7 linked regions of the Oryzias latipes genome follow. The protein of the gene in region 5 interacts with the protein of the main gene of each other region in a pairwise test. Links are inferred from orthologs where the notes say so. Each region holds a gene or a part of one and is shown on either strand. Other genes may lie near its edges. The genes, in order: arih2, fryl, ppp5c, utrn, disc1, exoc7 and srgap3.

Evidence for each region.
Region 1: the proteins of disc1 (region 5) and arih2 interact in a two-hybrid assay, tested with the Homo sapiens proteins (2 studies listed by BioGRID and IntAct). The link is inferred for Oryzias latipes from reciprocal best matches to the Homo sapiens genes DISC1 and ARIH2.
Region 2: the proteins of disc1 (region 5) and fryl interact in a two-hybrid assay, tested with the Homo sapiens proteins (2 studies listed by BioGRID and IntAct). The link is inferred for Oryzias latipes from reciprocal best matches to the Homo sapiens genes DISC1 and FRYL.
Region 3: the proteins of disc1 (region 5) and ppp5c interact in a two-hybrid assay, tested with the Homo sapiens proteins (2 studies listed by BioGRID and IntAct). The link is inferred for Oryzias latipes from reciprocal best matches to the Homo sapiens genes DISC1 and PPP5C.
Region 4: the proteins of disc1 (region 5) and utrn interact in a two-hybrid assay, tested with the Homo sapiens proteins (2 studies listed by BioGRID and IntAct). The link is inferred for Oryzias latipes from reciprocal best matches to the Homo sapiens genes DISC1 and UTRN.
Region 6: the proteins of disc1 (region 5) and exoc7 interact in a two-hybrid assay, tested with the Homo sapiens proteins (2 studies listed by BioGRID and IntAct). The link is inferred for Oryzias latipes from reciprocal best matches to the Homo sapiens genes DISC1 and EXOC7.
Region 7: the proteins of disc1 (region 5) and srgap3 interact in a two-hybrid assay, tested with the Homo sapiens proteins (2 studies listed by BioGRID and IntAct). The link is inferred for Oryzias latipes from reciprocal best matches to the Homo sapiens genes DISC1 and SRGAP3.

What each region holds. Positions count from the first base shown.
Region 1 is NC_019865.2:6,526,359-6,531,176, reverse strand, and holds the start of arih2 (E3 ubiquitin-protein ligase ARIH2), read right to left. Parts: upstream 3,267-4,818; 5' UTR 3,136-3,266; intron 1,180-3,135; 5' UTR 896-1,179; coding exon 638-895; intron 1-637.
Region 2 is NC_019862.2:1,257,102-1,261,181, forward strand, and holds part of fryl (protein furry homolog-like), read right to left. Parts: intron 4,000-4,080; coding exon 3,845-3,999; intron 3,757-3,844; coding exon 3,657-3,756; intron 3,581-3,656; coding exon 3,412-3,580; intron 3,281-3,411; coding exon 3,021-3,280; intron 2,110-3,020; coding exon 1,969-2,109; intron 1,889-1,968; coding exon 1,720-1,888; intron 1,639-1,719; coding exon 1,554-1,638; intron 752-1,553; coding exon 639-751; intron 562-638; coding exon 411-561; intron 341-410; coding exon 237-340; intron 142-236; coding exon 1-141. UniProt on the Homo sapiens protein: Plays a key role in maintaining the integrity of polarized cell extensions during morphogenesis, regulates the actin cytoskeleton and plays a key role in patterning sensory neuron dendritic fields by promoting avoidance between homologous dendrites as well as by limiting dendritic branching.
Region 3 is NC_019871.2:3,339,425-3,343,504, forward strand, and holds part of ppp5c (serine/threonine-protein phosphatase 5), read left to right. Parts: intron 1-902; coding exon 903-1,144; intron 1,145-3,269; coding exon 3,270-3,417; intron 3,418-3,493; coding exon 3,494-3,615; intron 3,616-3,698; coding exon 3,699-3,764; intron 3,765-3,851; coding exon 3,852-3,950; intron 3,951-4,036; coding exon 4,037-4,080. UniProt on the Homo sapiens protein: Serine/threonine-protein phosphatase that dephosphorylates a myriad of proteins involved in different signaling pathways including the kinases CSNK1E, ASK1/MAP3K5, PRKDC and RAF1, the nuclear receptors NR3C1, PPARG, ESR1 and ESR2, SMAD proteins and TAU/MAPT.
Region 4 is NC_019882.2:8,831,413-8,835,492, forward strand, and holds part of utrn (utrophin), read right to left. Parts: intron 2,926-4,080; coding exon 2,833-2,925; intron 2,557-2,832; coding exon 2,384-2,556; intron 1,341-2,383; coding exon 1,225-1,340; intron 924-1,224; coding exon 763-923; intron 1-762.
Region 5 is NC_019873.2:28,417,906-28,421,985, forward strand, and holds part of disc1 (disrupted in schizophrenia 1 protein), read left to right. Parts: intron 1-1,415; coding exon 1,416-2,284; intron 2,285-3,329; coding exon 3,330-3,399; intron 3,400-4,080. UniProt on the Homo sapiens protein: Involved in the regulation of multiple aspects of embryonic and adult neurogenesis. Required for neural progenitor proliferation in the ventrical/subventrical zone during embryonic brain development and in the adult dentate gyrus of the hippocampus.
Region 6 is NC_019877.2:22,410,159-22,414,989, forward strand, and holds the start of exoc7 (exocyst complex component 7), read right to left. Parts: upstream 3,027-4,831; 5' UTR 2,876-3,026; coding exon 2,816-2,875; intron 2,672-2,815; coding exon 2,606-2,671; intron 2,033-2,605; coding exon 1,848-2,032; intron 1,775-1,847; coding exon 1,669-1,774; intron 1,547-1,668; coding exon 1,324-1,546; intron 951-1,323; coding exon 783-950; intron 75-782; coding exon 63-74; intron 1-62. Other genes in the region: tvp23b (Golgi apparatus membrane protein TVP23 homolog B), read right to left, coding at 4,320-4,346, 4,427-4,555, 4,630-4,755. UniProt on the Homo sapiens protein: Component of the exocyst complex involved in the docking of exocytic vesicles with fusion sites on the plasma membrane.
Region 7 is NC_019863.2:2,730,534-2,734,613, reverse strand, and holds part of srgap3 (SLIT-ROBO Rho GTPase-activating protein 3), read right to left. Parts: intron 2,820-4,080; coding exon 2,792-2,819; intron 1,893-2,791; coding exon 1,790-1,892; intron 1,382-1,789; coding exon of another isoform or gene 1,351-1,381; intron 1,158-1,350; coding exon 1,097-1,157; intron 659-1,096; coding exon 581-658; intron 485-580; coding exon 350-484; intron 1-349. UniProt on the Homo sapiens protein: GTPase-activating protein for RAC1 and perhaps Cdc42, but not for RhoA small GTPase. May attenuate RAC1 signaling in neurons.

The sequences.
Region 1 (4,818 bases), on a different chromosome or scaffold from region 5:
TCAAAAAAAAAAGAACATTTGAAAACAGTTTTTAACTTGAAAGCAGACACTGTAAACAAGTTGACATTTTGAAAGAATATATATTTTTAATTTGCAGAAATACTAAAAACCTATAAACCCAAAATTGTTGACCAAAAAAAAAAGTTTATTTGGAACAGCTCCTGTTTTGAATTTGGAGTTTTAATTTTTCTGTTTCTCTCCCTCTCATCTTTCCATCAGCTTCAATTGGGGTCTTTTAGATTTGGCGGTGGGCCGTTGAGTCCACTGGTGACAGGACATGATTGACATCATGAGACAGAGGTTATGGTGACGTAATTTCTGCCCCAGTACATCATCTGTGGCCAATTGTAGTGCTAATGCCCCCTAAAGATTGGTAGATGAGAGGAGGGATGACACAGGAGTCAGCAAAACCTCTGTCACTAAATGTCAAACACGTCCCGGTAGCCAACAGGCTCAAAGCCACACCCCCACGTAAAATCAGGCTCAGCGCAGGAAAAAGAAAAGTCTGTACTGAAAAAACCTGATTACAGAGCCAGAAAAATGTTACGTTTTAGGGAAGAATAACAAAAAAGCATCTTCACCCAAAAACAACCTCTGCTTTTTTCCATAGAAACACAACAAAACATGCCCCACCCACCTTCAGTGCGGCAGCGACATTGTTCACTTCCTCCATCAGCACCCTCTGACTCTCTTTATACGTCAGACAAGTAAACTGATACTCCTCTGGGTCGAAGGAATCCGCGCTCTGTTGCTCCACATCACTGGCCACGCCTTCATAATAACCTGGTATGTCAACTTCTTCATCCACTCCATCATCCTCATCCTCCTCTTCAGAGTTCACCCCGAAGTCCTCTTCGTTGCTGTCTGAAGCCTGGCTGTTCATGTCCACGGACATCCAGTCGATTCAATCAACCACCCAGACAGGTAGACGACTTGCCTACCTGCCAGATCCACCTAGTTCAGGTGTAGCCTAAATGGTTGTGGAGCTCCACCCCCTCCCCCCTGCTTTCTTCCAGCAACTTGTCCACCTGGTGCCACTGTTAGGGGACACCCTGCCTTCCTGTCTGCCTGAGGCGCATATGGAGCGCGCTCAGCAGCAACGGAAAAAGCAGAAAAAGTCACACTCTCCGTCACTCATTTGGGCCACAGATTACTGCTCCGTCTGCAAAAGAAGGGAACCTGGAAAGACAAAGGGAAAACAGAGACGAGAGGGACATTTTTAAAAAGCCCTGAGTTCATCGGGACAAAAAAAAAAAAAAAAAAAACAACTGAAGCAAAAGAAAAAATTCCCACATTGTTTGTTAAACTGAAAAATAGTTTAAACTGGGTTTTATTTTTGTTTGATAATCTAAGAGTTTTTAGACTAGAAGCTCACACCATAAGGAAACTTCCACTTTCCTCTGTTGTTCTTCCTTTTTTCCTTCCTGTTTGCTGTTAAAACTACTGCTGTAATGTCAGCTTCAGCACCAAAGCGTGCAATACCCTTCAAAGGTAAAGACCCACTCAGATGAAAATGGAGCTGAGGCATTTTTCTCATGATAGAGGATAAAAATTGCTTCATTTAAATAGTTGTGAATCATAGTCAGTCGACAAAAATGCATGAAGCAGTGACATAGGAGCTGGAGTCAACTGGCCACAAGCTCCCCGATCCGCTCCATTCTGATGAAATCATTGCAGACAAATAGATCCATGCGGCTGTAAGCTAGGGTGGGAAGTGGCTCCATGCCAACAATTCCACCCACAACACAGAGGCAAATGTTTAATGAACTTTCATGAATTAGTGAAGCCCGTTGAGACAACTGTGTTATAATATTGGGCTATATAAATAAAACTGAATTGAATTCAATTTTGGATAAAAACAGCAAAGACAACTGGGAATACTTTAAAGGGTTGGCTGTAGTGGGGTTTTAGCCTACATCAACAACAAAAAAACAAAAATGTGGATTTAAAATGATTTGTTGATGCAACATGTAAACACAGGCCATTAATCAGGGAAATTAAAATATCTGTGGAAAACTAAATTCAAATCAAACATTTTGTAACTGTGGTTTCAATCTTAAAATGCAGAATAACAAAAACCACATGGAGTCTGGAAGTGATGTGACTGCGGCTGTGAGGAATAAACGCACAAACAGAAGAATATTACAAAACTAAAGACACACGATAGCTTTGGGACTGTGTTGTAATAGCAAACAGCTGATGGATTACTCAAGCTTTTTTATTGCATTTGTCTTGTAAAAAGTTACTGACTTTTACATGTCACTCATCGGATGTTGTGGATTTTCCACGCCTCGTTTAGCCACAATCTGACCTTAAAGAAGCACAATTTATAAACAAACTAATTTTGGTCTCTAAAGCTTTGCAGCTCAGGAATTCATCTTCAGTTGTGAGTTTTACAAACCCCAACAAAATTTCCAGATAATACTAAAATCTGTTGGTGGTAAAACTGGGAAGTCAGGATATAAAAGCAGAACTATATTGCACAAAACAAAAAGCTCTTATATAATGATTTAATCAAAGTCAGCTACATAAAGACACACGATCCCAGCGGAGGGATACATTTACAAATATTAAACTCTGTACTTCGGAAAAGCCTGCCAGCCGTCCGACAGACGTGCATTCCGCTGAAGCCAGGTTAAAAATAGGCAACTAACTGGGTGACACACATCTTGCCAGGCAAATGGAACACAATCAACTCGGGTTAGATAACGTGTTTTGAAACAAGTCTCGGAATGGGATTCAAGGAGTTTGAAAGCCTGCAAGCGGAGAGCATTTATTCCGACACTTCACCATAAATGAGCGAAACTCCCTCGCTAGCCGGATTAGCTTCCAGGCTAACGAGATAGCAAGTATGTCAAGCACATAAGTAGCTATTATTACACCAAACACATAATTACAACCAGAATGTTTTGCAAGTCGCAATTACAGATAAGAAAAGGTTTTCTCCCCTACAAATAAGCTGAAGTGGTCAAGAATCTGCAAAGCCTCATCACCCACTCTTGCTAAGCCTCCGCCTCTCATTACTCTAGTCCGGGGACAGAGATGTAAACAAGGCCCTTAGCAGCCCGGGAGTGAACACACACATTTAAAGGGCTGCCGTCTGCGTTTCCAGCGTTTCAAGTTCACGATGTTTACCTGCTGGAGCACAGCTGCGCGGACTTTCTGTGACCACTATGAAGGACTTTTCATGAGGGGAAATCTGGAGAGCGATGTTCACCTGTGTGCTTGCCTGTTTAGCGGAAGATAGACTGTTGGAGGTGCTTATCAGTGACGTCATGTCCGCCCCAGCCTCCTCCTCCTCTTCCTCCTGAAGGAGCCCATCAGCAGTAACCATAATTTGGTTGCTGACATCTGCAGTGCTTTCCTGTTTTCTGTTCTTTAGGGCTCAACCTCACAGAAAAATAAAATAACTTATATTACTTCGGTTATATTTCGGAATCTGAAAGATATTTTCATTTGAAAAATTGCCCGATTCTCTTTTTTTTTAATTTATTTCTAAGCATTTTTTAAAAACTTTATTGTGTAAAACAGAAGTACAATACAAAACACAATTTTACAAAATAAAATTCAAATATGCCAGGGGAGCATACATATTAAATACATTTTACATAAAAACATTCAGGTTTCTGCAACTTTCATATAGACATACAGCTTTCTGATTAAGACTCTTGGAGATGTTACTGATATACATTTCAATTTGTTTGATTAAAACAGGGAAAAAAATAGAAGATGAAGAAAATTTACATTTATGTATATAAAATTTGCCAAAAATAATAATAAGATTAATTATGAGTTTTTTATTTGAGTCCAAATTTTTATTATGAAGGCCAAAAATTATATGTTCAAACTTTAGATTAAAGTTGGGGTGAATGCGATTTCTAATAAATTGTAAACATTTTTTCCAAAAGATTCTAATTATAGTACAATTCCAAAAAAGTTGGTTAATTGTTTCTGGATATTCTTTGCAAAAAGTACAGTTAGGGTCAATTGTTTTAATGTATTTAGCATAAATTGATTGGTGCGGTAAATTTTGTGAATTATTTTAAAAGAAACTTCTTTCATTTTATTATTTATCATAAATTTTTGGGTGACACTCCATCCTTTCTTCCAGATGCTGTCGGGAACAAAACGTCTCCAGTAGGTTTTAGTACACGGTACAGAAATGACATCCCTTTGAAACAACACACGTATTTTTTTGTTGTTATTCTTGTGTGTAGGGGTAAAACAAATTTTTCCTGTGGTGGTGGCAGTTGCATCCATAGAGGGCATTTCTTCGTTCGTAGCAGTTGTTTTAAACATTTGGCATATTTCTTTGGAAACAGCATCAAACACAATGGCATACTCTTTAGGAGTCACAACCAGATTATATTTAGTGTTGAATTCAGTAAACCTTAATAAATGCCCGTTCGTGTCAAAAATTTGGCTCACCAGTAGAATTTTTTTCTCAACCCAATGTGGAAAATATAAAGATTTATTCTTGTATAATAAATATTTGTTGTTCCAAATAAAGAAGTTATGGGGGGAGAAATTGTGTTTGTATAGAAGTGCCCATGCAAGAAGAGCTTGTTTGTGGAATGCTGATAGTTTAGCTGGTATTTTCTCAACATTGTAATGACAAAGGAGAAGAAAGTTAAGGTTGCCTAAGTTTGAAAATATAAAATCTGGAAATATATTCCAAATTGAAGTAGGATTTTTTAGGTAGGATTTGATCCAGTTTATTTTAAATGTGTTATTTAGGGTTGTAAAATCAAGAAAGTTTAGTCCTCCATTCTCGTACGAGTTCATTACCACAGATTTTTTTAAATAATGTATACGGCT
Region 2 (4,080 bases), on a different chromosome or scaffold from region 5:
CCTTTGGATCATTGCAGTCTCTGTTGCCTAACAGCACCATAGCAACAGACTGCATGCTGTTGCTTGCTGCCTGGACAACCAGCAGGTGAAGAAGCAGGCGTTTGCAGTGCTTGTAGACCTCTGGGTGATGGTGATCAAACCCTGAAAAAATGAGAGTTGATATTTGATCAGAAAACAAGCCTGTGCACTATATAAATGACTAATTAATTCAGGCAAGTACTGTAAAGACCGCTTACCTATAAATACAGCATGCAACAGAAGGTGCAGGTAGGCACTCCACTCTACTTTGACCCCATGGTCCACTATGAGGTCCGTCAGCAGGATGACTGCAATGTTACACCTGCAAACAGTTTGTATGTTTAACAGCACAGCTCACAACCAAGAAAACAGGGAACAGACATTCAGCGTACCTGTGCAGTGGCACAGCAGGAGTGTTTGCCTCTGGCAAATAGTCCACCAGTGGAGACCAGCAGCCACCTGAAGGCGGGAAGGGGAGAGCCTCTGGCTGGTTGTGCTCCATCACTTTCAACCGCCAATTTGCATAAAGTGGCATCGAGTCGCCTAAAAAATAAAAGACGGAATTTAGCAGAGATGCTAAGTAAGTGTTTGCCGTAGAGTCAGGAAGAGTTTGGGCTTACTTTTCTCGTCTTCATAGGAGCCCCCAGAGCTGCTGCTGTAACGAGACTCCAAACGGTGATGCTGGCGGTTGGGGTTACTGTTCAGACCACTGTAGATGTCTAGGTGAGTGTAACTGTGGAGCGAACGAGTTTGATTTATAATTACCACACACCCTAAAACGAAACACCTTTAAATCTAGAGTTTCACTTTGTTAAAGGCCCACTCTGATGAAAAGGGTGTTTAACATGTTCTTTTGGCATTTTCTGGTGATGGAAGACATATATAAAGAAAATTAAGCTTTCAGCTGCATTTCTGAATGTTTCCTTACTCAAATCACTGTGAATCAGGAGCCGACATAAAGATGCTGTTAGAAAAAGAGCTCATTTGTCATATAGAAAATATGCTCTGCTACGGCACGGGGAGTGTGTGAGGGGGGGTTATTCCACGTCAACAGTCCCGTCTACAACTCGGGGATGAATTTCTAATGCTGCCGCTCAGCAGAATCTACGTCCTAGATAACAACACAGGTTTTTTTTATCTTAATGAATCGACCACAGTGAAGACTTTTACAATAGATCAGAAGATGATCAGAGTTGGACTTTTTAAGTAGGGAAAAAGTCATTTTCAACAATATTAGATTCTAAAAGACAGATTTGACTCATTTCAGCATGACGATTTATTAGATGAGACATGTGGTCATGTTTGGTTCCATTTGTTGTTGTTTTAAAAATAATCTGTTTTAATTTGAAGAAAGATTTCAAAAGTTGTAGTAAAATATCTCTATAAAAGTCTGTTTAATGGCAAGAAGAGCTTTTAGTTCCATTGATGCCAATTATTGTTATTTATGAAAAAATATGAACACAGTGATGACTGCTGCTGTTCATTTCATTTTCTACGATCATAAGAAGAAGAAAAAGAAAAGAGTCCGGTTGAACCTTTCTTCCATGTTGGGGTCTTTCAGCTTGCCGTCATGCTGCCCTTCATTTCCTGGAACCATGGTATTGCTGCTGGATGTTGTTCCTGTGAGAACATGCACAGAATCTAAGGTATTGTTGCTGGGAACACGCATGTTTCTGCACAGCACCAGTAAGTTCTGCGAACCTGAGGTGACGGAGGGAATCTTGTAACTGGAAGTGATGCGGTAATAAGGAGGGTTGTCCATGTGTGTGATGGCTGAGCTGACAGGATCGGTCATCTCCAGCTCACACATCAACTCCTCCAACAGCTGCATAGTCTTATCTCTGCCCAGGTAAACCACCACACGTTTCACCTGGAAACACAGGCAGTGAATGAGGAGGGCATCCCAGGGCACAGGGCAGGGGCGGGGGGCATGGGGTGGCAGTCACTTACATAGGGCAAAAGGCTGGGGTCACTGCTGACTCCACACATGCTGATGAGAAACTGCAGAATGATTCGGAGGTTCTTTGGCCAGCTGTCTGCTAAAGTAGTCCAAACGTTCTCGATTTCCGACCAGGCAAACTCATCTCCGTACTATGATAACAAAACAAATATTCTGAGATCAGTCAGTCACAATAAAGTGAAGATTGAAAAATAACCAGCAATAGGTCCAATCCACAAAGCGGTCATCTGGATTTATTACAATTACAGATGTTTTCTTAGACAAACATTTTCATAGTTTTTTCTCGTTTAAACTCTCAAAGTTCAAACTTTGTAGAAAAATTAGTCCAGTATTGAAACTAGGAGTCCACCGATTATCAGTCAAGGATGATAATTGGACCAATATTTGGTATTTTGACGTATATCGGGATCAGTATTTTTTCAATCCGACGGGCCGATACTGAACTGGTTATTTTGGCTCCATTTTTTCATCTATGAGAAATACTTTCTTTGAAAAAAGGGAACCTTTTCTGACATTTTACTCTGAAGATTTCTTAGCTTTGGTGTCAGTAAAGCTTGTTTGATTAGTTTATACTTAAAATCCAACATTAATCTGGAATTTTACAGTGATAATTACATTGCTGATGTGTGTTTACTATACTGTATTTGGAAAGATCGTGAATCTGCGTTTTTGGACATTACAAATATTCACACTGAATTTTTTGGGAACAGATTGATAATATTTGGCTCTTTGGACAGTCGTTACAGCCATATTAGAATGAAACCAAAAATCTGCTCATGATCAACTATTTATCTGGATGTGTAGGAGGTCTACATCCAATCAGGACGCACAACACAATAAGCTGTTTAAAAAAAAAAAAAGCTAGCAAATTTACATTAAAATCATCTGTGAAACAGCAAAATTAGGTTGTGGCAAAGGATAATAATAACTGTAGCGCTGTCATGCAATCGATAAAAAAATATTTAAAAAAACGGGTTCGTCTGTAACTATTAACCGTGATTAAGATGAATGTGTGAGTTGTTTGTCTTCTGGATGCGCTTACCTTTGCGGTCATAAACATAAGATTGTTCAGCACCATGGTGGTTGCACGAGGAGACCCCCAGCCCTCTCCTCGGAGCCACCGGCGACTGTTGACCATCACAACGTCCTGCTCCTCCTCCTCCTCCTCTGCACTGCTGACTTCCTCAGCCCGCCGTGCCGGTTTTAAGTCAACCAGCTCCACATTGTTCATCCACGGTAGGAGATAGTGTAACATCACCTGTCGACCCCCGGGATGTGCCGTCTGGATCCGCTGGCTCACCTCTGAAGCAAAAGCAGGGTTTTACACTTTTTTTAAAAAGATTACAACAACAGCGCAGAACAATGCTGTCTGGCTGAGTGGTAGAAACTCAACAGACAGTTGGACGCATGCAGAGCCATGCGTCTCAGCACACCTGAGAAGATGGGCAGAGTGAGCTCTGGGTAAGTCCTTGCAAGCTCCTCAGACAGCTGGTAGTACGACACAGAGTAGAGGTGAGGCAAAGGCGATGGTGGCGTCAGGATGCTGTCCATCCGCTGGATCTCCAGTTTGTGGGCATAACGGAAGAGCTTTGGCTCCAGGATCTGTCAAGTTTGACACATTTTCAGTGAGCCAAGGCCAGGCAGCCTTTCCCAGTGTGCAGATGGCATTTGCACTGACCTGCAGCAGCTGCATGGCCACCTCATAGATTTCTCTGGAAGAATCTGCTGCCTTAAAAAGAATCAGGTTCAGCAGCACCACAGTGTCAAACTGGTAATCCCTGAAAGAAAAGCGACATGCTGTTCAAATATCGCGCTTTACAGGTGGATGACCTACAAAGAAAACAGTCAAGCGGAAAAGCGAAGCACCTGTTGTGAAAGACGTGAGCGATTGCTCTGAAGCAGCCGGCGGCGACGCGGCGTGAGCCGGTGTAACAACGGTCCACAGCCCAGAACATCAGGTTGCTCTGGTCTGGATTCAGCTCCAGCAGCAGCATCACAGCCTCACAACCAAGCTGATGGACCTGAGAGGATTACAAAAAAGGACATCAAGTGCTGTCAGATCCACCGTTTCCCAGGTTTTTGCAAGCGAGGAGAGAGCCACA
Region 3 (4,080 bases), on a different chromosome or scaffold from region 5:
AGAGATATTTGACATTTATTGTCAGCTATTATGGACAGAATTAAATGTTTAAAAATAAAAAAACAGGCTTTGATATTTACGGTGAATAAAAATTTCTGAAACAAAGATAATAGACGAGGCGTTCTTTGTCATGTTTTGTTGTTTTTAAGCTCCGAGTTATAATCGGTGATACAAGCCGAGGACATTTTTATTGTCTCATCAAAAAACTGAAAGTCATGTGATGTGCTCTTATTTTGAAATCTTTCCCCAATGATGACAATCCTCATGTTGTAGCAGATGACTGACTTTTGTGTACTGTTTATTGTTGTGGTCTGTATTTAAAAGAGTCACTTTGTGACTTTTAGAAAAGAAATCTCTAAATAATGACACGTTTTTCACGTCTTTTATTTTTTAATTCAGTTCCTGAGGCAGATGTTATCAAACCCTCATGAAATTTAAAACATTTGCTGGTAGTGAACATTAAACAGTGAAGTCAAAGTTTTGTTTATGAGTTAACTGTGTGGTGAAGAAGCTTTGGTTGAACTACTGGCGCTTGTGAAATTGAGTGTTTTTGTTCTATTCTTGTGTTTTTGTGGTTTTGGGGTGTCACCGGCTAATTTTATTTCTAAAATAAATGTAAACAACTTTAAAAGGAAAAAACCAAAAACTTTAAAACAAAATATATTTAGATTCAAGCAGCTCAACGACTGAAAACCTCAGACCACCGTCAGTCTATGTTGGAGGGGAAAGATTTCCTTTTTTTAAGGTTAAAGTTCCTAATTAGCTCAAATATTTAGATGTTTTTTTGTTTCAAATATTCAAGTAAAACAGGAATTCCTCCTTTAAATTAACTAAACATTTATGTTTGTTCTGCACAGAATTATGGAGGAAAATAATATTGGAGGATTTGTGTGTTTTTCCAGAGAAAGATTATGAAAATGCCATCAAGTTCTACTCAGAGGCTTTGGAGCTCAATCCGTCCAACGCCATCTACTACAGCAACCGCAGCCTGGCCTACCTGCGCACCGAGTGCTATGGCTACGCCCTGGCGGACGCTACCAAGGCCCTGGAGGTGGACAAGAACTACATTAAAGGCTACTACCGCCGCGCCACCTCCAACATGGCTCTGGGGAAGTTCAAAGCTGCTCTGAAGGACTATGAGACGGTCAGTGACGGATGCTGCAGGTTTATCACTCTCTACCCTGATCCTCTTTAGTGTGAGAGGATGAAGGTTTAATAAAACAAAGCTGTTGAATTGCATAAACTGTATACTATATGATTTCTGATGATAGGCTTTTTTCATAGAGCGCCAATTTTGCACTTTAATTCAGTTTAGGTTCAGATTATCGATCAGGGCAAGAAGATGCATCATAGTTTCTGTTTGGTTTTTAGGATCTTGACCCGTTGTGTGTATTTATCTTTAACACAGAAAATATTTGCTGGGGTAAAGTTTTTGAATTTAGCTTTGCTGTAAGAAAATTCCTAATTTTCACAAGTTTTCATGAATCTAAAGGAAATTTCTACAAATCAGAAACTTTTTGGTTTTATTTTATCTGGATTCATCTTCTGTATCAATTTGTTACTAAATTGGAGAAACCACCCGCAGAGCGTTGAAAGGGGGGGGGGGGTTGTTTATATAAATATATATGAATAAATACAAGAATAAAATCGTAATTTTTTAAAAGGTAGTAATTTCACGGACAAAAACTCAACTTTTTCAAAAAGAAAGCTCGCTAAATCAACAAAAAAATGAAAGCAGATACATCCAAATTCTTGAGCAGTTTCATGTCCGCCTGATTTCTCCTAATGTTCCTTTGTCTTTGAAATATTTTCAAAGCTAAATGAGACATTTTATGATTTAAGGAGCGGGACTTTTTCCTTGTAAATTTACAACTTTTAGAAGCATAAAGTTATGACTTAATTCTCATCAAATGTTGAATTCATTTTCAAACGGCTTTATTCTCATAACATAAAGATTTTGTTGTTATTATATTTTTAAAATAACTGAATGCCTTTAATATTACTACCTTCTAAGTTTGCAACAAGTTTTTTGGTCATAACTTTTGTCATAATTATACAACTTTATTCTCAAAATATTTTGAATACTTTCTCATAATTTAACGGCTATTTTTGTGTTTTTGTTAGTTTGTCTTCTTGAATTGTGTCTCCAATTAGTTTGTCGTACATTGTAGAGTCTGGGTTTCAGTGTGGCGGTCAGAGCGACGGCGCTGACCGAGGCGAAACTTGACATTCGTCATAGACAGATTTGATGGAGAGAATCCGCTAGTGTTTCAAAATAAAACTTCCTGTAGAATAAGTGTAGTTGTAGAGTTGGAGTTCTGGCATTGCCTGTCTGTCCAGGGGGAGGCTTCGTCGTTTTTTCCCAGAATCCGTTTTTCCTTACCGCCAAGAAGGGTCTAAAGGCAGCGATGTCCAGTTTTAGTTTAGTTAGTTCAGTTTCTATTAAATTGTGTGTGTTCATGATCCTTTTAAATTTGATGTTACCCTACATTTATCTAAAGCCTATCGAGACGACTGTTGTTGTAGTTTTGGGCTATACAAATAAAGTTGAATTGAATTGAACAAGATAGGTAAAACCCAAAAAGTTGTTCTGTTTTTTACCTCCCCTGGTACCAATTGACCCACGGGGCGGCTCCAGGGTGGGGGGTGGGGGTTAGAGGGCAGCACTGCTCTAGAATCGAGCAACATTTTACTCACTCGAGTTCAATCAAACGGCGTTTAGGCTGAGCGTCTCCCCCTCAGACTCACAACAAGCTCTCTTTAGTGTTGATTTATTTATTTACCGCTAATCGTTTAGCACATAATGGGTTTATTTTATTTTTTTATTAGTATTATTTTATCTTTTATTTGTTTTATTTTTAATGTTCGGTTTAGCAAACCAAACAAAACCATTTTTCTGTTGTTGTTATTATAAAATGTTTGAAATGAATGAACTAAGAATGCAGGACAAAAACAAAACCAGCTACCAAACCAGAGGGTGACGACATCCCATGAGCAACATGGGATGAGTTCATTCATATATTTAACAATAGAACCAGAATAGAAAGCGCTTCCACTGGTATTTATTTTAATGAAATTTTGTTGTACAGATCTGCTGATCTAAACTGGTGCTTCATTGATTCATGAATGCTGTGAAGTCGCTTCAACTATATATTTTTTTACGCAGCTGCAGTTGTTTCTCCTTCAAACCCGGCGGAGAGACGTCAGAAACGCTCCATCCGGACAACGTGTTCTCATATTTTCCCGCCGTCTCTGCTTTGTGGCGACAGGTCGTGAGGGTTCGACCGAACGACAAGGACGCCAAGATGAAGTACCAGGAGTGCAACAAGATCGTGAAGCAGAAAGCCTTCGAGCGAGCCATCGCCAGCGACGAGACGAAAAAGTCTGTGGTGGACTCTCTGGACATCGAGAGCATGAGTACGTTTCCCGTTCCGAGGCCAGACTAACGCGACGAGGAGCCGGGGCAGGAAGATGACGTGACTTTGTGTTGCAGCCATCGAGGACGACTATGCCGGCCCCAAACTTGAGGATGGAAAGGTGACGGTCAGCTTCATGACGGACATGATGGAGTGGTTCAAAGAGCAGAAGAAGCTGCACAGGAAGTGTGCGTACCAGGTAGGAGCGGTCGGCCCTCAGGCCCCCCGCCGGCTCAGCGTTCCTTCACATCTGTTTGCAGTCTTTCTCCTCCTCTTCTTCAGATTTTGGTGCAGGTTAAAGACGTTCTGTCGAAGTTACCCAGTCTGGTTGAAATCACGTTAAAGGAGGTGAGGAGGACGTCCCTGATTGGTTGGTCAACGGCATCAAAGTTCTCTAAAGGTGTTTGTTTTTCCTTACCTCCTGTTTCCTCGTAGACAGATAAGTTAACTATTTGTGGGGACACCCACGGCCAGTACTACGACCTCCTCAACATTTTCAAGCTGAACGGCTTACCGTCAGACGCCAACCCTTACGTATCCTTCCGTCACGGCGGCACGTCGTGCCCCAGAGTCGTCAAACGCAGAACTCGTGCGTCATTTTCCTTGACTGCGGCGTTCAGCTGTTCAACGGGGACTTTGTGGACCGCGGCTCCTTCTCCCTCGA
Region 4 (4,080 bases), on a different chromosome or scaffold from region 5:
TCCTTGATGCCTATTGATGCAAATATCCGTCAAAACACTTTGGATCCTAAATTACCACGATTTCTACATGAAAACAAAAACATAAGTAATTTAAAGTTAAATATAAACACTTTGATACACAAGCAAATTTTACTGTGTATAAATAAAGCATAGCAATATTTTATTTTATTAAAGCAATATTAAAGCACTTCATACCTGTGTGCAGAAATAAACAATCAAGTGTTTTACAAGTTTCAAACTGTAAAATTGATTTACAGAGCAGTTAAGTTTTATTCAAACCATCTATGAATAATATAATAATATTATTATTATTATAATCTATGATTAATTGAGATAAATAACTTTAAAAAAAAAGTACTCTGAATTTGTGCTTAATATTCCCTTCACTAAATGTTCTTGCCCACTTATGTATTTTTTCCAGTTAATTTCGATTTTTGAAACATTGGTTTGCATTAATATCAAAATCATGAAGAGGTTAGCTGCAGTTGTGTGTCAAAAAAAGGCTTATTTTGGGAATTTGTTACTGATTTCTTGGTTCATATATTTTTTGATTTGTCTTTTTTAAAACAGACTTGTATCTTTTACTATTTGTATTTTTGTTGATATTCATTTATTCCAAATAAAAGCGTGCCTCTGTGGCTGTGTGCGACTTTTTTCCAGACTGTGCGTGTACGGCAGAGTGATTCTCCCTCAGATGAAACCCAGTTTAATGTGGCCAAAGGCCTCTTCCACCACATCCTCACATGGTTTGTTTTCCGTTACCTGCACACTGAGCCCTGGAACGGCGTCTTCGGTTTTAAATTTACGGGGTAAGGTCTCCACCTCTCTAATGGCATCCATGCTCACATCTTTGGGCAGCACAGCAAAAAGCGACGTCACGTACATGATGATGGACTTCTTGTCTGGTAGCTGCACTGCCACATCTGGAAAAAAAAGATGTGGATGGATGAAGAGAGGTATAAAATTGGAAGGGTGAGGACCCGACTTGCAACATTTATTACTGATTTAACACAACTAAAAGGCTGCAGGTTTGGAGCCCAACACTTCTTTAACCTGTTCCCTCCTTTGAGTTCATCCAGCTGCTGCCATCATATGAAAGTAAACTTCATGACATGCTGCTTTCATTTGTCGGAATCTTGGTCAAATAAAAAGCAACCTTCAACAACTCTGCAGTATAACCTTTCAAGCTAAGCAAAAGCCAAATGATGGAAGCGACAAATGTACCTTCAGGATCCAGGAGCCGTTCGATTCCCAGCTGATCTCTGGCTACAGTGAAAGCATGGTCGAGTCTTTCCATCGGGCTCAGTCTGACAACCTGATCCCAGCTGAAGGCTTCTGGCCTGTGGTTTCAACACAGTTAAGGGATGAAACATTTCAGAATAGAGCTGGGATTAAAGGAAATCTAATTATTTGGTTTCACTCATCTTCACTTACAAGATGTTATACTCATTTATTAAATCAACAAAGGTTTTTTCATTTTAAAAATATAGGCTTTTAATTTGGTAGGGGGAAAAAAGCTTTTAATTTAAAAATGATTTTAATAAAAATTAAAATCTAACCATGCGAATATACTCTATGAAATCAGAATCAGAAATCCTTTAATGTCATTGTTACACAAGAAGCTTGTGATAACGAAAATCCAGGTGCTCTCCAGCTGTTTGGACAATAAAAAAATAAAGTAATATACATATATGGAATAAAAAGAGAGAAATAGAACAATTTGTGGAACTATGGATAAATACATGGATGCTTACATGTATTGAAGATTTATTTCATAAATAAAAACCCAAAAACTGTTATTTTTTTGCAGCTAGATTTTCAGCTGTTCTGAGGTTTTTGCAGATGAAAATGTGGCGGGAGCGGCAACTATCGAGTGAGGAATGTGTGTGTTCAGTGATCCACCCAAAGCCCGGGCCCACGTTTAAACCAACAGTACGGTTCTCACAGCTCACAGGCCTGTGTGTGTCACTAGTAAAGACAAGGGGGTAAAATAAAAAAGACAGGGAGGGGGGGTGCATCCCTTACCCCCACGCCTTTTCTTTCACGCTCAACAGTGTAGGCGCGCGCACTCACAAAGCGTGAGCAAACAGTGACATAGCACGCCTAAACAGAACAAGACAAGCAGTGTGCACATGTGCACAAACACCCAGACCTCCCGACACCCGCAGCTCCTCTCCTTCATGGAGCTTTTTTTTTTTTTTTTTTTACTGCAGCCGTCGGACTCTTTACAGTTTGAGGATGTGATTTAAAATCCGAATCAAAGGGTACACGGCCAAGGTGCAGGTAAAATCCACCTCATACGCAAAGAATGTTGCAAACAAAACCCAGAAAAAAAAGAGGTTTTATGAGTCAGGCGGAAGGCGTTTGGGACATTTCTGCTCACCTGAAGTGGTGCAGGATGCCATTAAATGCCAGGCCGTCAGACCAACTTGTTGTGAAATTTAGTACATTGACTTCAGGGTACGAGCGTGTGCACTGTCGCACCCAGCTTAGCAGGATCTTTTCACTGTTGTTCTGCTGCAAATTGGACATGATGTCTTTCATGACGTCTTTCACCTACACACAAAAAAAGGGACACTTTATTACAGACAACTGAGTTTTTTTTAGTCCTATAAGCTGAAATCAACACAAACGGTAATGAAAAGCTGCAGCTCCAGCACAGAGTGTCAACAGCTGTTCCAAATGTCAGGCAGACAACACAGATGATGATTAGTATGTTTGCATGCAAGCATGCACTTTCCATCATCTGCTTTTTTTTTTTTTTTTTGTCATTGTCGGTACACAGGGAGTTAATGGAGCAATGGTGATGAGATGTTGTGTGAGTGAGCTCACCTGCCAGTGAAGGATAATGCTCCAGATGAGGCCCAGCGTCAACTTGTGGTTCCCATCTACGATATCTGTGCCTCCTATGTTTACCAGATCCACCTGGCGGACCGAAAAGAAATGAGTCAGACGGACACTTTGTCCTCTTTAAAGACTCTCAGTTTTAATATTTTTGTTATGTTAATAGAAGCCCAAGTTTCGTCTGTTGTGACTGTGAATTTTCACATTTTAAGGTAATTCTAAAGGAATTGCATTGTATGCATTTTATGCATTAAAAAGAACTGTCAAATCATTAAAGACCCACTCCCATGAAAATTGTGTTTTAAACATGGTCTTGCTGGCATTATTCAGATTATGGAGGATATATATAAAGAAAATTGATCTTAAAATTGCATTTCTGAGTATTTCTTTAATCGAATGAGGAGCACACACATAAATGCCATTGGATAGAGCTTGTACGTGTGACGTAGAAACTACTACGTCAAGCCACAAGCTCCCTGCTCCACTCCATTCTGATGTATCCACAAATAGATCCATGTACGTCCTGGTTTTCCTCGTATGAGCTGACATCTGGCTCAAAACTGCAGAGCTGGATAGGTCTGATATTGTTCGCCATTTTTGTTGCACCGTCAACGTTAGGTTGGGGTCATGAAGGGCTGTAAGCTAGCGTGAAACAAAAGCAGATGGATGTTGGAAAGAAGGAGCAGGCTTACTCTGCACCAATCGTCCCGCCCACAACTCATAGGTTAATTTCTAATGAACTGCCCCTCTGCAGAAACTATGTCTCCTCTTGTTATCACATAATGGTAAACACCATGGCCACCTAACCACATCATGTGAAAAGATTACATTTTGTTCCGGCTTTTAGTGTTTTCACGCACAATGCTTTTTAACCCAAGGTTACATCCGTTAATCGCTTCTGCTATGTGGCCACTGAAAAGTTTTTCACCTAAAGCAAGGATTCACTTAAACCAAGAGCCAAACTTGAGATAACCTTTCACAAATAAAGTTGGAAGGCTATCTGTTATTAAAAGACTATGCCCCTTTTTATTTGCAAGTTTAATGCTCAATAAATAAGGATAATGAGATTTCTAGCATTTTAGAATCTCTATAACTGGTTATTAACCTGGTTGGAAACATGTTTATCTTTGTTTTTATATCAAAACAAATGAATACTGTTTCTCTCTGCAAGTCTCTTGTGGTAACTTTGGGAACTGCATCGGGCAGTAATTTTTGCAGCTTCATTCAGGAAGTTAA
Region 5 (4,080 bases):
TTCTACTTTAAGCTTTGCTCAAAGATTTTCAGTGTTTTTCTTTTACTTTCAGATAAAACCATTGATAAAAAAAATCTGTCATGTGGAACAGGCCTGTTTTATTCCGTTTTAGTCATGTGATCATTTGTTTTCAGTGGAGCGTACCATCTGTTATGCATGAAACACATTTCACACAAAGTTAGGGTAAAGATGAACAACGTCTTCCTTGTCAGGCGGCATGTCTGTTGACATTTTGGGTCCATGGCCTGGAATCTCCCCAGATCGTAATCCCGTTGAGAACTTGTGGTCAATCCTCAAGAGGCGGGTGGACGAACAGAAAGCCACTAATTCTGACCGACTCCAAGAAGTGATTCTGAAAGAACGGGCTGCTATCAGTCAGGATTTGGGCCAGAAGTTGATTGACAGCATGCCCAGTGGGAGTACAGAGGTCCTGAAAAGAAGGGCCAAGACTGCAAATACTGACTCTTTGCATAAATGTCATGGAATTGTCCATAAAAGCCTTTGAAATGTATGAAGTGCTTGGAATTCTATTAACTCTGAGAAAACTAAAATTTGTGTCCATGACTGTAGACTAAATAGAACAATGCCGACTGACATTCTGAAAAAAATATGTAAGGAGATTTGTGGGGTAAAATTAGAATTTATCAATAGGTCAAAATGTTTCCACCGGAAGAAAAAGAAGGTGTAAACAAAATATTAAAGGTGGGAGTGATGTTGTTTGCCTGTTACCTGCCCCCGCCGCCCCCTATTACCCCCTTTGACCCACCCTCACTGGCTGAACGGTTGCTGTACGCCCCTCAATCTCCCCCTTTTGCCTCCACCACCCTGGTCAGAGCTGCATGGGACAAATTCGCGTTTTCTTTCAAAATGGCGGCTTATCTGTTAGTTTTATCTCCGTAGCAACCATTTACGTTTTTGGTCGCCTAGGGTTGACAAACAGGTCTGTGTAATATTTTTTGAAGTATCAGCAAAAGTACTTTTTCGGATTTCCTTGGCAACTGAAGTTTTTGGTTAACCACGCCCACATTCCTCATATATTCGTAAGGTATTAAATATTGTTTCGTTCAGCTTTAGCCAATGACCATTTGTCTAAAATCTTTAGAATATTTCGGTAAAAAATATGCGATCAACAGGGGAACGCCAAATTTGTGACCTCGCCACGCTAACACAAACTTTAAAACCAACATTTTTTCCCCCGTGAAGCTTCCCGATGACGCTCAAGGAGTTGGGAGGTGATGGCTGCTTGTTTGTTCCAGCTTCTTGAAGAAATTTGCTATTACTTGACTGAAATGCTTTTTTCTTACTGTCTTTTATTAAACTCTCCTTTCATTGCAGATCCAGCGTTTCCCGCCCGTGAGCTCACTCTTCATCTTCCTCCTGTCGCGGAGCTTAACGCCTAATCTCTGTATCAACAGGTGGCAGAGCGTTGGCGACAGCTGGCAGCTCTGGGCGAAAGAGGCATCACCGAAAGCCAGGCTACATGAGAGGAGAGCAGTCCAGGCTGCTGAGCTCTGCAGGTACCGAGGAGGAAGAGGAGGAGGAGGAGGAGGAGGAGGAAGAGGCGATAAGCGGCTGCTTTGGGAATGGAAACTGTGGATGCAGCACCGCCGTCACCCATGGCCCTCCAGCTCAAAGACTGAGTCCAGCTCCTGCTTTAATGGTTAATAAACCAACGGGTTTGAGGAGTGAGGGCGTCCTCGGCCCGGCTGCAGACATCCATCCTGCTCCAGCAACATCCAACCATCTGGGTCTGACCTCAGAGCCTCATGATGAGCTCAGCTTAAGGCTGAGGCCGGCTCCCCAGACCTCAGCAGAAGACTCTTTCACGTCCAGTTTCAGTTTCATTCAGCAATCGCTCAGCTCCAGTCAGAGGACCGGTTCTTCAGCTGCACCACTACAGGAACCAGAACCACCTACCAAAGCCCCCGAAGGACCACAACCCAAACCTGACTCCCAGCAGAACTTCTTAAAGCTCTCGCTTCCTGTCCACTCTTCACCCGGCCACGCACAGAAGGAGGACCTGCCGTCAGGAGGGAGGCTCTGGCGGGAAAGTCAGTGTTACGGTAAAGAGGAGACCTCCCACCTTCTGGACTGCGAGCCCCGTCCTCTGGACGTGGAGGTCACCTCCTCGCTGTCGGTGGATTCAGACACGGCCTCAGCCTCCTCTTTCACCTCCGGTTACGAGAGCGCCACAGCGGGCTTGGAGTCGGGCTGGGACGGCGTGGTGAAGAAGTACGAGGGCGTGCTGCAGGCCTGCCTCCGAAACAACCGCGCCTACACAAAGGTGGGCATAGCGGATCCTCTTGAGGGGGGCAGAGACTTCAAACACATTCACTTTAAAGTGCTGTCATTGCTGAGGGAGAACTCATGTTCTGTAGACTGTTTCAGATCATTAAATCAAATAAATCATGGCGCTAAAGTGCGCTAAAGAGAAAAAGCAATTACATTTAAAGCCGCGAGTGGTGTAGTATGGTTTAGCCCTCCCTCATTGGCTGAGTGGCTGCTACAAGCCCCTCCCTCTCCTTTCATGCCTCTGCCAGCCTAGTCAAACTTGCATGTGAGAAGAAGAAAAAAGCACTTTTTTTCAAAAATGGCGGCTTTTCTATTTGTTTCATCTCCATAGCAACCATTTAGTTATTTGATCGTCCGGGGGGGAGGAACAGGTCGATGTGCATTTTAGAAGGATCGCTAAAAGTAAATTTTTGGGTTTCCTTGGCAACAGAGGTATTTTGTTAGCCACGCCCACATTCCTGATATGTTTGTATCGTATGTCATATAGTTTTGTTCAGCTCAGCGAAAACTTTTCTTCAAAGATGCAGTAAATAGGAAAAATTGCAGAAACAATCTGGTCCTTCAGTCCAGAACGGCTGTGGGACGCAGATAGTTAAAGTTTTGAATCTTTCGGTCCGTGATGGCTCAGGTCAGATGGATGTGAAGGTCATGACAACATTTAGAAACAACCACCTTAAATATCTTGTTCAAAGCTAAGCCCGACAGGAAATGGAATGATGAGCAACAAAGGTCATGGTCTGGCTTTCAAAATAAAACACAAACGTTTATAAAATTAAAGGTTTGGACCATTTGTCATTAATTAAACACATTTAAGTTATTTTCAAAATCTGTGTTAAAAACTGGAAGAAAGTTAAAAAAAAAATCACACTTTTGATTTAAAAAAAAAGAGAATGGAGCAGAGCATAAAGTTATGTTCATAAGTTAAAATCTCCAAAAGCAGCAGAACTTTCTGACAGAATGACGGTCATTGTACTTGTCCCGTTCCCTGTGGGCGGCGTCCTGTGGGCTGATGTCTCCGTCTCTTCTCTCCGCCTCAGATCGAGTCCATGATGTTGAAGCTGCAGAGGCTCCAGCAGAAAGCCGTTCTGGACGACGACTACGACGCAGGTGAACGCCAAACACAACGTTTTAACCCTCTGAATCAAGCGTTTTATGAGGAACGTTTTGCTTGCATGCCATTATTTCACCATTGCGTGTGTTTATAGATTTTCCCATTAAAGTTGTCGGAGTGGAAGGAAGTGTTTGCAGAGCGATTATGACAGAAATCCCAGCTGTCAAAGGACCGTCAAGATTCAAACATTCATCTGTTTAACACTCGTGATCTTTGGGCTCTACTGCGTTATTTAACAACATGGCACAATCCAAACATGTTACATATGATAAAAGACCTGCAGCTAAAAACGGTTTTTGAACCAACCTCACTGAGGCTTGCAGGCGTTTGTTTGAACGGGTCGTCTGAGGCCACGTGTCACTCCGGGTCAGGTCAGGACTGTGACTGGGTCAGAGCAACACTTTGATCCGGAGCGCTGTCATGATCCACTTCCAGCCAAACATCAGTCTCTAAATGGTTTTTGTTTACAATAAAATGGAGGGGTCATGTGGTTTGCCCATGTTATAAAACTTCCTCCACTGTGCTTAATAACACTTTATGTCAGGGGTTTTCCTAAAATGAAGTTTTGGATTTTTCTAAATGTTTATGTGGATTATGACCAAATGTCTCTGCACCTTTAAAAACCCACATTTATCTAAATTCTCTTCAAGATAAAAGCCTTTGGCTGTAAATTTCAA
Region 6 (4,831 bases), on a different chromosome or scaffold from region 5:
TGGTAACCACAGCAACCACTGGACATGAGCTCAGAGCACAACAGTGAAAGCTTTGTATTTACCTGGGATGTAGACTGTCATCACAGCACAGGAAACGAGGAAAGAGGAGAGGATGGTTAGAGAGGACAGTTAAGGAGCAAACGGCTATATCGAGGCGGCTGGATGGAATTCAGCGCCACGTGCAGAAAAGGCGCAAACGCCTGACAGACGCCACATTTTCACATGTATTTCACGTCTCTGTTATACGACGGAGTTCTAGGGCCACAAAAAAAAAAAAAAAGGAAAATAACGAGATTCAAAGTCGTAAATTTACGAGATTAAAGTGGAAGTGAGCATTCAGTGCAGCAAGTGAACGTCACGCAGCAGCAAAGCGGATGTTTATTGATTATGTTCCATTTGTTTGATTTACGATTAATTCATGTTTAATCCATTGATGGGGGGCCTTGCAGGATATCTGCAGACGTTGATGAAGACGTCGGTGTCCCTGCAGCTGTCCAACTTCAATGTCGCCAAAATGTTCAGAATTTCTCTGTTTTTTTTAAACTTAGCCGGAAATAAAGCTTCACAAAATGCTCCACATCTGTCATCTTCATGCACGGCTCCAATAAGCAGAGAACTTTCGTGTTTTGTCTCGTTACTTTATTACTTTTTTGTCTCGTAAGTATATATATATATAAATTTAAATTAAAAAAAAACAGGTTTGTAAACCGGCCCCAAAACTCGGTCGTGCGGTTATGTGACTGCAGGCGGAGGATGGCAGAAGAAAACTGTGAGTTGCTGACCTGGTCTCTTGGGAACCTTTTTGGTGGGCGTGTCCTTGCGTTTGGTTTGGACAGCGGGCGAGTAGAGGACCCCAGAGGAGGCGCTGTTCTTCCGGAAATGCTCTTTCAGGCCTTTGATGGACCGATCCAGCTGGTTGGACCTGATCTGGAAGTAGACGTTCATAAAATCTGAGGAAGACAAAAACAAAAGAAGAGTTTACAATCTGCCTCTTAAAAAATCTCCTCCTCTGTTGAACTCTCACGTGTTTGATCACTTTTAACATTATACTTGGGCTTTGGTTGATCACATGGTTGCCTATGTAGAAGATCCAAAGGCCTCACTACTGTACTGGGACACATATGTGCATCGATTAGCTAAACTAGCATGAGCCAGGCATCACAGCGTCACACTTAACACAAAACAACAGCCAGTTCAAACTCATTTTGAACTCTGAGGAAAGAATCCTAACACATCTGTGACCTTGACCTCCAACTGCAGTGAAAACTGTTCAACAGAAGTCTGGAAAAAGAAAGCCTGTGAGGTTGGTTACGTCCTGGTTACCCTGGTTACGTCCAAACTCCACCAGCCACCCGGTGATGCAGATGATGTCCTGGAGCACCGCCTCAGGGAGGTGTTCCAGCACCACCTCCTCCTGCACCTCCAGCTCTTCGTCCACGCTGATGGTGTCCAGGATGAGGATGGGGGGAACGGGCTTACTGTAGCGCGTCAGGAGGCCGCGGAACTCCGCCTCCAGCAGCTCTTTGCCCTTTTCAAAGCGCGCTTTCTGCAGACCATCAACGTTTTGGAGAGTTACTTGAATCTCACTCAGTCTCAAAATGCAATCTTGGTTCATTTATTCTTCTTTTTTTAGAGTCATACATGTACAGACAAAGGCTGATACTGTACCACTGTGTTAAGTTCAGGGCTGTCGGGGTTGTTGTCCTGAAAGTACTCCACTGCTTTCTGAATCTTTGCGATGCAGGCGAGGTACTCGTCCAGTCTGCCGGCAGGTCTGCGACAGAGCATGCACGTTTTCACAGCCGGCTCATTTCTTTGACTTTACTTCAGGAGGGGGTGCTGCTCACCCCTCACGGATGATCCTGTCGGTGTCTTTAGCCACGTGGTAGTAACTGATGACATGGTCCATGCAGGACAGAGTCTTGTCCACGTTCTCCTGCAGCCGCTGCAGATTCTCGGTCTGTTTGTGCACCGGGATGATGGAGTTCTCCAGCTGCATCAAGCGGCTCTCGAACGAAGACAGGATGGAGACCTTTCAAGGCACAAAAGGTGATCAGCAGGTTGATTCCCGGAGGACGTCGACGGTAGTTAAAGGCACCTCTGAGATGAGAATCAAAAATCTAGTATAACGCCTCAGATCTTGTTTATGGATTCCGTTAAGACATCTGATTAATCAAAATCAAAACCATCTTAACTTTAAACTTAAAAGAACCCCATTTGTAAATCATAAAAACTATTTAGATCTTTTTGCATCATTCTTGTTTTTTAATTACTAAAACTAAATGCTGCTTTCCAAACTATATCATTTTTTAGAATGACAGATTGACAGATAAATCAATGTTTAAACTGTTTCATCAAATTCAAAGCAATTCAGTATGTATTTATTTCTTCTTGGCAGGAAGACGGCACTTTTATTTTGAAAGAGCCGTTGAGCTCGCGCCTTTGTTTTCAGATCACAGTAACCCATAGTGAAGGGCATACTGGTCCTTCTTTAGTGGAAGCTTCTCTAAAGAATCAGGAGCCGGAATAAAACCACTTATTTCCCATCGAAGCAGCTGCATAGACTCTGTTGAGAAGAAAGTCACGTGACATGGAGCCGCCGTACCATCCCTTTGGTCAGCTGGTCGCTCTTCTCCAGGTTTTCTCGGATGAACGACAGCGTTTCTTGTTCCTGTAACATAGCCGATACCCGGCAGCCCACTCGTCACTACATTTGACTAAAATGCACATGAAAGTGGTTAACGTTGACATTCAGGAAAGGGGACATAAAAGGGAATAGTGTTCTGCGGGAAGAGGCTCCTTCCGCTTCACCGACCTGCTTCAGTTTTTCCTCGATCTCCCGCTTCCTGGCGGACGCATCCTCGATGGGAATCATCCTGGAGCTGATTCCCGTCAGAGCTCAGGCCTCCAGCGGACTTACTGCAGTTAACCGTCCCGTTTAACTCGGAATATAAACCACCACCATTGAACTCCTCTGATGTTTTCAGCTGGAGACAGGAGGGTGCGTCTAACCGGATGGTCACTTCTGGTTTGATTTTTCAAAATAATGTACCCGATTCGCATCGAAGAGCAAACAAACAGACCCGAATACATACAGATTTGAAGAAAAGCTGTATAATATAGTTTTTAACTATAATATACTTTAGCGTGATTTGAATAAATATATTTAGTGTAATTTATCGGATAAATGCTTTTAATGTGAAGGCCAGTTCGTTCATATTTCCGGTGTGTTCCTCTCATTCACATCCGAGTATGTCCAAAGCGGAACGTTTCTTCAATCCCGCACCGCTTTTAGGATAACAGACGTTCAAGCGTTATTAGTAACACTACTATTAACATTTCCCCATAATAACTACTACATTTCAAAAATTCTATATAATGTGGCATACATTGTCACGGCCTGACCAATGGCGCAGTCCGGCCGCTTGACGTCGCTGTTGCACTTCTAAAATTAGAGGAAAGTACAGACGCGTAATCATAATAAAAGACGAATTCGGCGATAAATAATCTGGTAAATCATAAAACTCTTAAAAGGCCAGCTTGATAAAAAGGTTTCCATGAACTAATCTACTTGTTTTATGCATCACTGTGTACTTTATGTCTTGAGGAATTGTTAAAACATTCAGGAGTGCTATTTTTGAACACAGTTTAATTTTCCCGACAATCTGACTGATAGCAACTTCAATAACACTGGGAAAAAAAACTCATCTACAAAAAGAAAATCCACCCAGAGACTGAGAAAGATCCTCTGATTTGAAACTCAGATCCTAACTTTGACTCTGGAAGTGGGATGGAGTTTGAGGCTTCATGCTTCCAGACTAACTGCAGTCACTGCTCCTTCAGTGGATTCTGCAGCGTCTCCAATACTGACTTTTATTGATTTATTTTTAATAAGAGCTCACACTTTCAGGAAAATGTTACAAATGTATTTGCACAAAAAGGCTTTATACGGCATCCTTACTTACATATTTACAAATGACTTGGAATACTTTGGAGTAAGTTCTGCAAAGGAAACATGTTTTACAACCATCCTCAAAGCCTTCCAGCTGTCCTGAAGTGACTAGAACTAAAAACATGAGACAAACAAAAAGGCTCGATACACTACATGCTAATGTAAAGTTGTACCATTAACATGTCCCACCTGTAGCGATGGTTTGAAGCTGTATATTGCTGGGAAAACACAGACAACGGCTTTAGTCAGCCACATGTTCTAACCCGTCTACGGCTGGACTAAAACATGTTTCTACGTGTCCTTTTGGTAAAAGAATAGATCACAGCATTAGGTGTGATGTATGGGTTCTTCGTCGCAGAGCTGAAGCCTACGACTCCTCTTCTTTCGACAGCGTCTGAGGAGAAAACAGATTTTAGACACAAACAGAAGGAACAGACTCGCTGACATTTGCATTTCCCCCAGAAATGAGTTCACCTGCTTCAGGAACTGTCGACCAAAATAGTTGGTGGCCATGTTCTTCAGGTTGGTCTTCCCTCCTACTCTGCACCGCACGTACCCGTAAAGGTTGGCCCCTTGCAACACCACAGCCATGATCACCACCGGCTGAGTGACAGACAGGAGAACAGCAGCTTTATTATTGGACTGAATACAAAAATGAACAAGAAACAAAGTCTTACCATCCATTTAATCTTGAAGGAAAACAGTGTGCTAAAGGCAAATAGGACCCAGATGATTGGGCAAATTATCAGTCCAAGCCAAAAGATTCGAGAATCTGAGTTGGACACTTGCTGCTTCCCAGAGCCCTGAAGGACACAAGATATTCTCACAGTGAGGACATGTGTGGATGAAATGCAGACAGGAAACAACTGCATTTCTCAA
Region 7 (4,080 bases), on a different chromosome or scaffold from region 5:
AGACTTTTTCAATCAGGAATTTACAATTTCCTTCACATAAAATTTTGACTTTTTTCTTATAATTTTACAACAATTTATGACGGTGGTCCTAATACTCTGTTGTAGAAACCAGCTTTCAAAATAGAATGAAAAAAATGACAAATGATGTCACCCATACTCCTGCACATGCAGGCACGCACACAAACAAAGTACACACCGTTTGCCCATGAGTACAAAATGCACACAGCAAGCTGGGGTGGTGCTCCTCGTCTCTTTCTACTTCCAAACAAATTCTAGTTTGCGCTTTATTTTGGTTCTTTCTGTATCTCGCCAGAAGCAAAACTCTTTTGAAAGTTTTCAATAGACTCACTGATGGTGGAGATAAAGTCCAAGAAGCGCTCCTTTGGAAAGAGAGGATTCTCCAGCCCTCTGAAGTACAGCTTCAGCACCCCCGCCACTGAGTTTATATCATGCTCATTTCGGTCATCAATCAGTGGATCTTCACCTAATTAGGAAGAAACACATTTGTTAGTAATTGTTGAAAGCCTACAGGGATGTGCAGTGTTGTGTTGGTGATGTAACAGCGTCTGTGCACACTCGCCTCTCTCAAATGAGTTTTTAATGTCGTTGACCTCAACCTGCGATCCTGGCACGCGGAATATGCCTTGCTGTTGCAATCCTGATGAAAAAGAGCCACAATGTCCTGATCCTGAGCTTCAGTAGTCATCTAAATCCCATAAAAATCCCCCAAAACATAGTTTGGAACAGGAAATTCAGTCTTATCGTGGAGGGAGTTGCAGTTTCTTTCAGGCGAAGGCCCTTCATTGAGGCTGCAGCATGTGGTTTCAGTTACAGCATTCTAATCAGTTTTCATTGCATGTAGATCCAGAAAAAAGACCCCAAAGGGTAAGTCACCAAGCTGAAGCTGTATGTGAAAAGCTGGGGGGGACTGGCCTGGATGTAGCAGAACTTTTTCTGTGCAACCTACTAAAACTACTTGTGGAAGGAGAGAGTTCCACGGTGATCTCCAGCTAACTCAACTGCTTATGAGGTTAAAGGCGTTTATAGACTCTTTCTTTTCTGCTCCTTTTGCAGAGAAGCAGTAGGGGAAACTCACCATATAGGTTAATATATCTGACACAGCTTTCAACCACCGGGGGAATTGGTTGACCAGAATCCTACAAACCAAAAAAAAAAAAAAGGAAACAGATATGAATTTCAAAAAATAAATCAACAGATGCAATAATTATTGTCATCAATTGCTTGGTTAAAACTTTGCAAAGAAAGATAATGGGAAAAACGGTGAAAAATAAAGTAGGTTACTTCCATTCAAGCACAATTAGTTTTAGTTTTCCCCTGCAACAGCAGTACCTGAATGCGAGTACGGGCATTCCTTCTCCCTCTGGGACAGAGAACGGCAAAGCAAGGCAGAGGAAGCAGAGAATTGCAGTTAGAAAAGTTAAAACGACTTTTCAGGAGGTTAACGCAGGCGGAGCACAGGGACTGTAAGAGTATAGACATTGCTGCGTTTCCCTCTCATTTCTCCACACTGTTTGGATTTAGAAGAAAAAGCCAGACAGTCAACTCAGCAGGGAAATTAACGGCAGGTGATTTCCTCTCAGGCTGCGTCCATTAGAAAAAAAGCAAGCAGAGGGATTAGAGGTTAAAAAGTGGCGGTATATCAAGAGCCAAATGAGCTGGAAGAGGGAGGAAAGCTCAAGTACGGAGCGGGACGAGGGCAGAGGCTATAAACGGCATAACTGCCTGCTTTGTGGGGGCTGCTGAGACATACACCTCCACTAGGGGGTACCTCGATGAAAGTCTCCATATTGCCATTAAACAGCTTATGGTAATTCATGGAGCACGGCCTAGGTTTCCGCATTTTCTGTGGTTTAGGGGGGAGAGTTGGGGGCCTGGGTAGACGATGGAAAAGGCGGACAAAAACACAATTTTTCTGTTATACTACAAACTATAACAAAACACACATTTTATGATTTAAACAGTACATCAAAGGTCAAGACATGAAGAAAGTAAAAACATTTAATTGAAAATTCATTGTGAACAAACCGAACTATTGTCGGTAATCTGAACCAGGGGGCCCCCCCTCAACGGGGTTCAGATTACCGACAATAGGTTAAAAAAATAAATACCAAGTACACTGATCACATTGACTGGTAAATTGCAAATATATACACGTCACCATGGATGTAGCTGCTAATGTGCTTTCTCATTCCTCGACTGGCCACATGTCAATCAACTCAAAAAACAACCGCGATGCATACGCAGACGGATCGTTCCTGTTGTCGGCACACTGTGTGCTGTGACATTGTTGACATGGCAACTACGAACACACAGGTCCAGTTCAACAAGATGTAGAAGGAAAAATGACAACTGTAATTCCAAAAAAATGTCTGAATTACTTTGAATCCGCTTCAAAGATGTTTTGGAACGAATCATTTCAAAAGTAGCTCACATGCCAATAAAGTGTGAGCCCCCCAGCTCTACAGTAACCAGGAAAAATCTGAGTCTGAAAAGCTTTAAGGCAACAAAAGTATTCAAAAGAACACAATACACTTCAAAAAATAGATACTTCTTTCACTGCTTATTTTAAACTTCACAAAAATCAATCCAAATGCTAAATGACAACACAAACCTACAGGAATTAGACAAAAGATATTCAAAATAATTCATGAACAGTGTAGGTTTATTTGTGGGCTTTTAATAATGCGCTCTGCCTTTTAGTTGTTTCAAACCTGATTAGTTTGAAAATCTGTGACAAATTTGATAAAAAGAAGCGTAATCAGGAATTTACCTTGTGGTTCCACACTCAGCCCTTTCCCCTGCGGAATAAACATAAAAGAGCTTTTATTTGATTTTGCCTTTATGTCAAGAACACCCCCACCCACCCCCACCCCCGGCTTTGGTCGGTGACGGGTTGTACTGAGGAGAATAAGGACAGACAACATCCCAATTGAGGCAGAGCAGAATAGAGATGTTCTAAAAACCGGTCACCGGACAAAGCCACGGAGCCGCCGCTGTCGCTGGAGCCTCCGGGGATGCAGAGGATCCCCAACAGCTTCTGACCTCCTCCCTGAGCAGAAAATTGGGGGTTGGCAGCTGCAGTATGTGCAGACGGGAGCGGGAAAGGGTCTGTCACTGGTGAGACTGAACAATGCCTACGCGGTTCACTGAGCTTCTCTTAATTGTGTGGGTTCCCATCAACAAATGCACATATTTCATAGAGACCTGCACAAAGACAGTCTATGCAGAACACGGCATCCTGGTTCCACCGTTCAAAGATGTGTGTCTTTATGAAGACTCTTTGTCAGCCAAAACAGGGCAGTTCAGCAGAACAGGGTTGTGATCATAAAGAAAGACAGAATAACCCCAAAATATTCCAACATTACCGGTAGGTCTTTACAATATTTGTAACATCAATGAAAATAAATGTTCTGAAGAAAACAGTTGGCAGATGAGACCAGGTCTGCAGCTGGCAGGTGAGGAACGGCGAGCCCTTCCAACTTTGATTATTCTACAGAAAACATCTCCAGGAACACACTAATGAGCTTTCATTTAAAAGGCAAGGCTGATTAATCTATAAACTACACCTTTCCTGCTGCCAGAGCACGACATTATGATTTTATTAATACATGCAGCAAGATGTAAACACCATGTGGCACTTTCCAGTCTCATCTTGTTCGTGCTGTCATGGCCACACCCACGCATGCATGCACACACACAGACATGGTGTTTTGAGGCAAATAAACAAACGAATGAAACTCATCAGTGATTGATCACCTGAATAATTAAACATGGGAGGCACCTGGAGACGCCATATGCTCTGCTCTTTGCAGGAGCATAAACTGGCCTTCAAGGTCCTCAGCTGCTCATTGAGGTGAGCGTTTATGCACACATGCACGGCTGCTTGGCAACTGCACGTGAATCGCCTGCACAGCCTGAAGTCCGGACGATGAAATAAATCCTCAGGCGGAATGAAATGGACATAAATATTCAGGAGTTGGGTGACTGATTCGAGGCATCAGCTGTCTACGACTTGGGCCTTTTCATTTTAGGGGGGAACCCTTGATGCAGGAGCAGCTG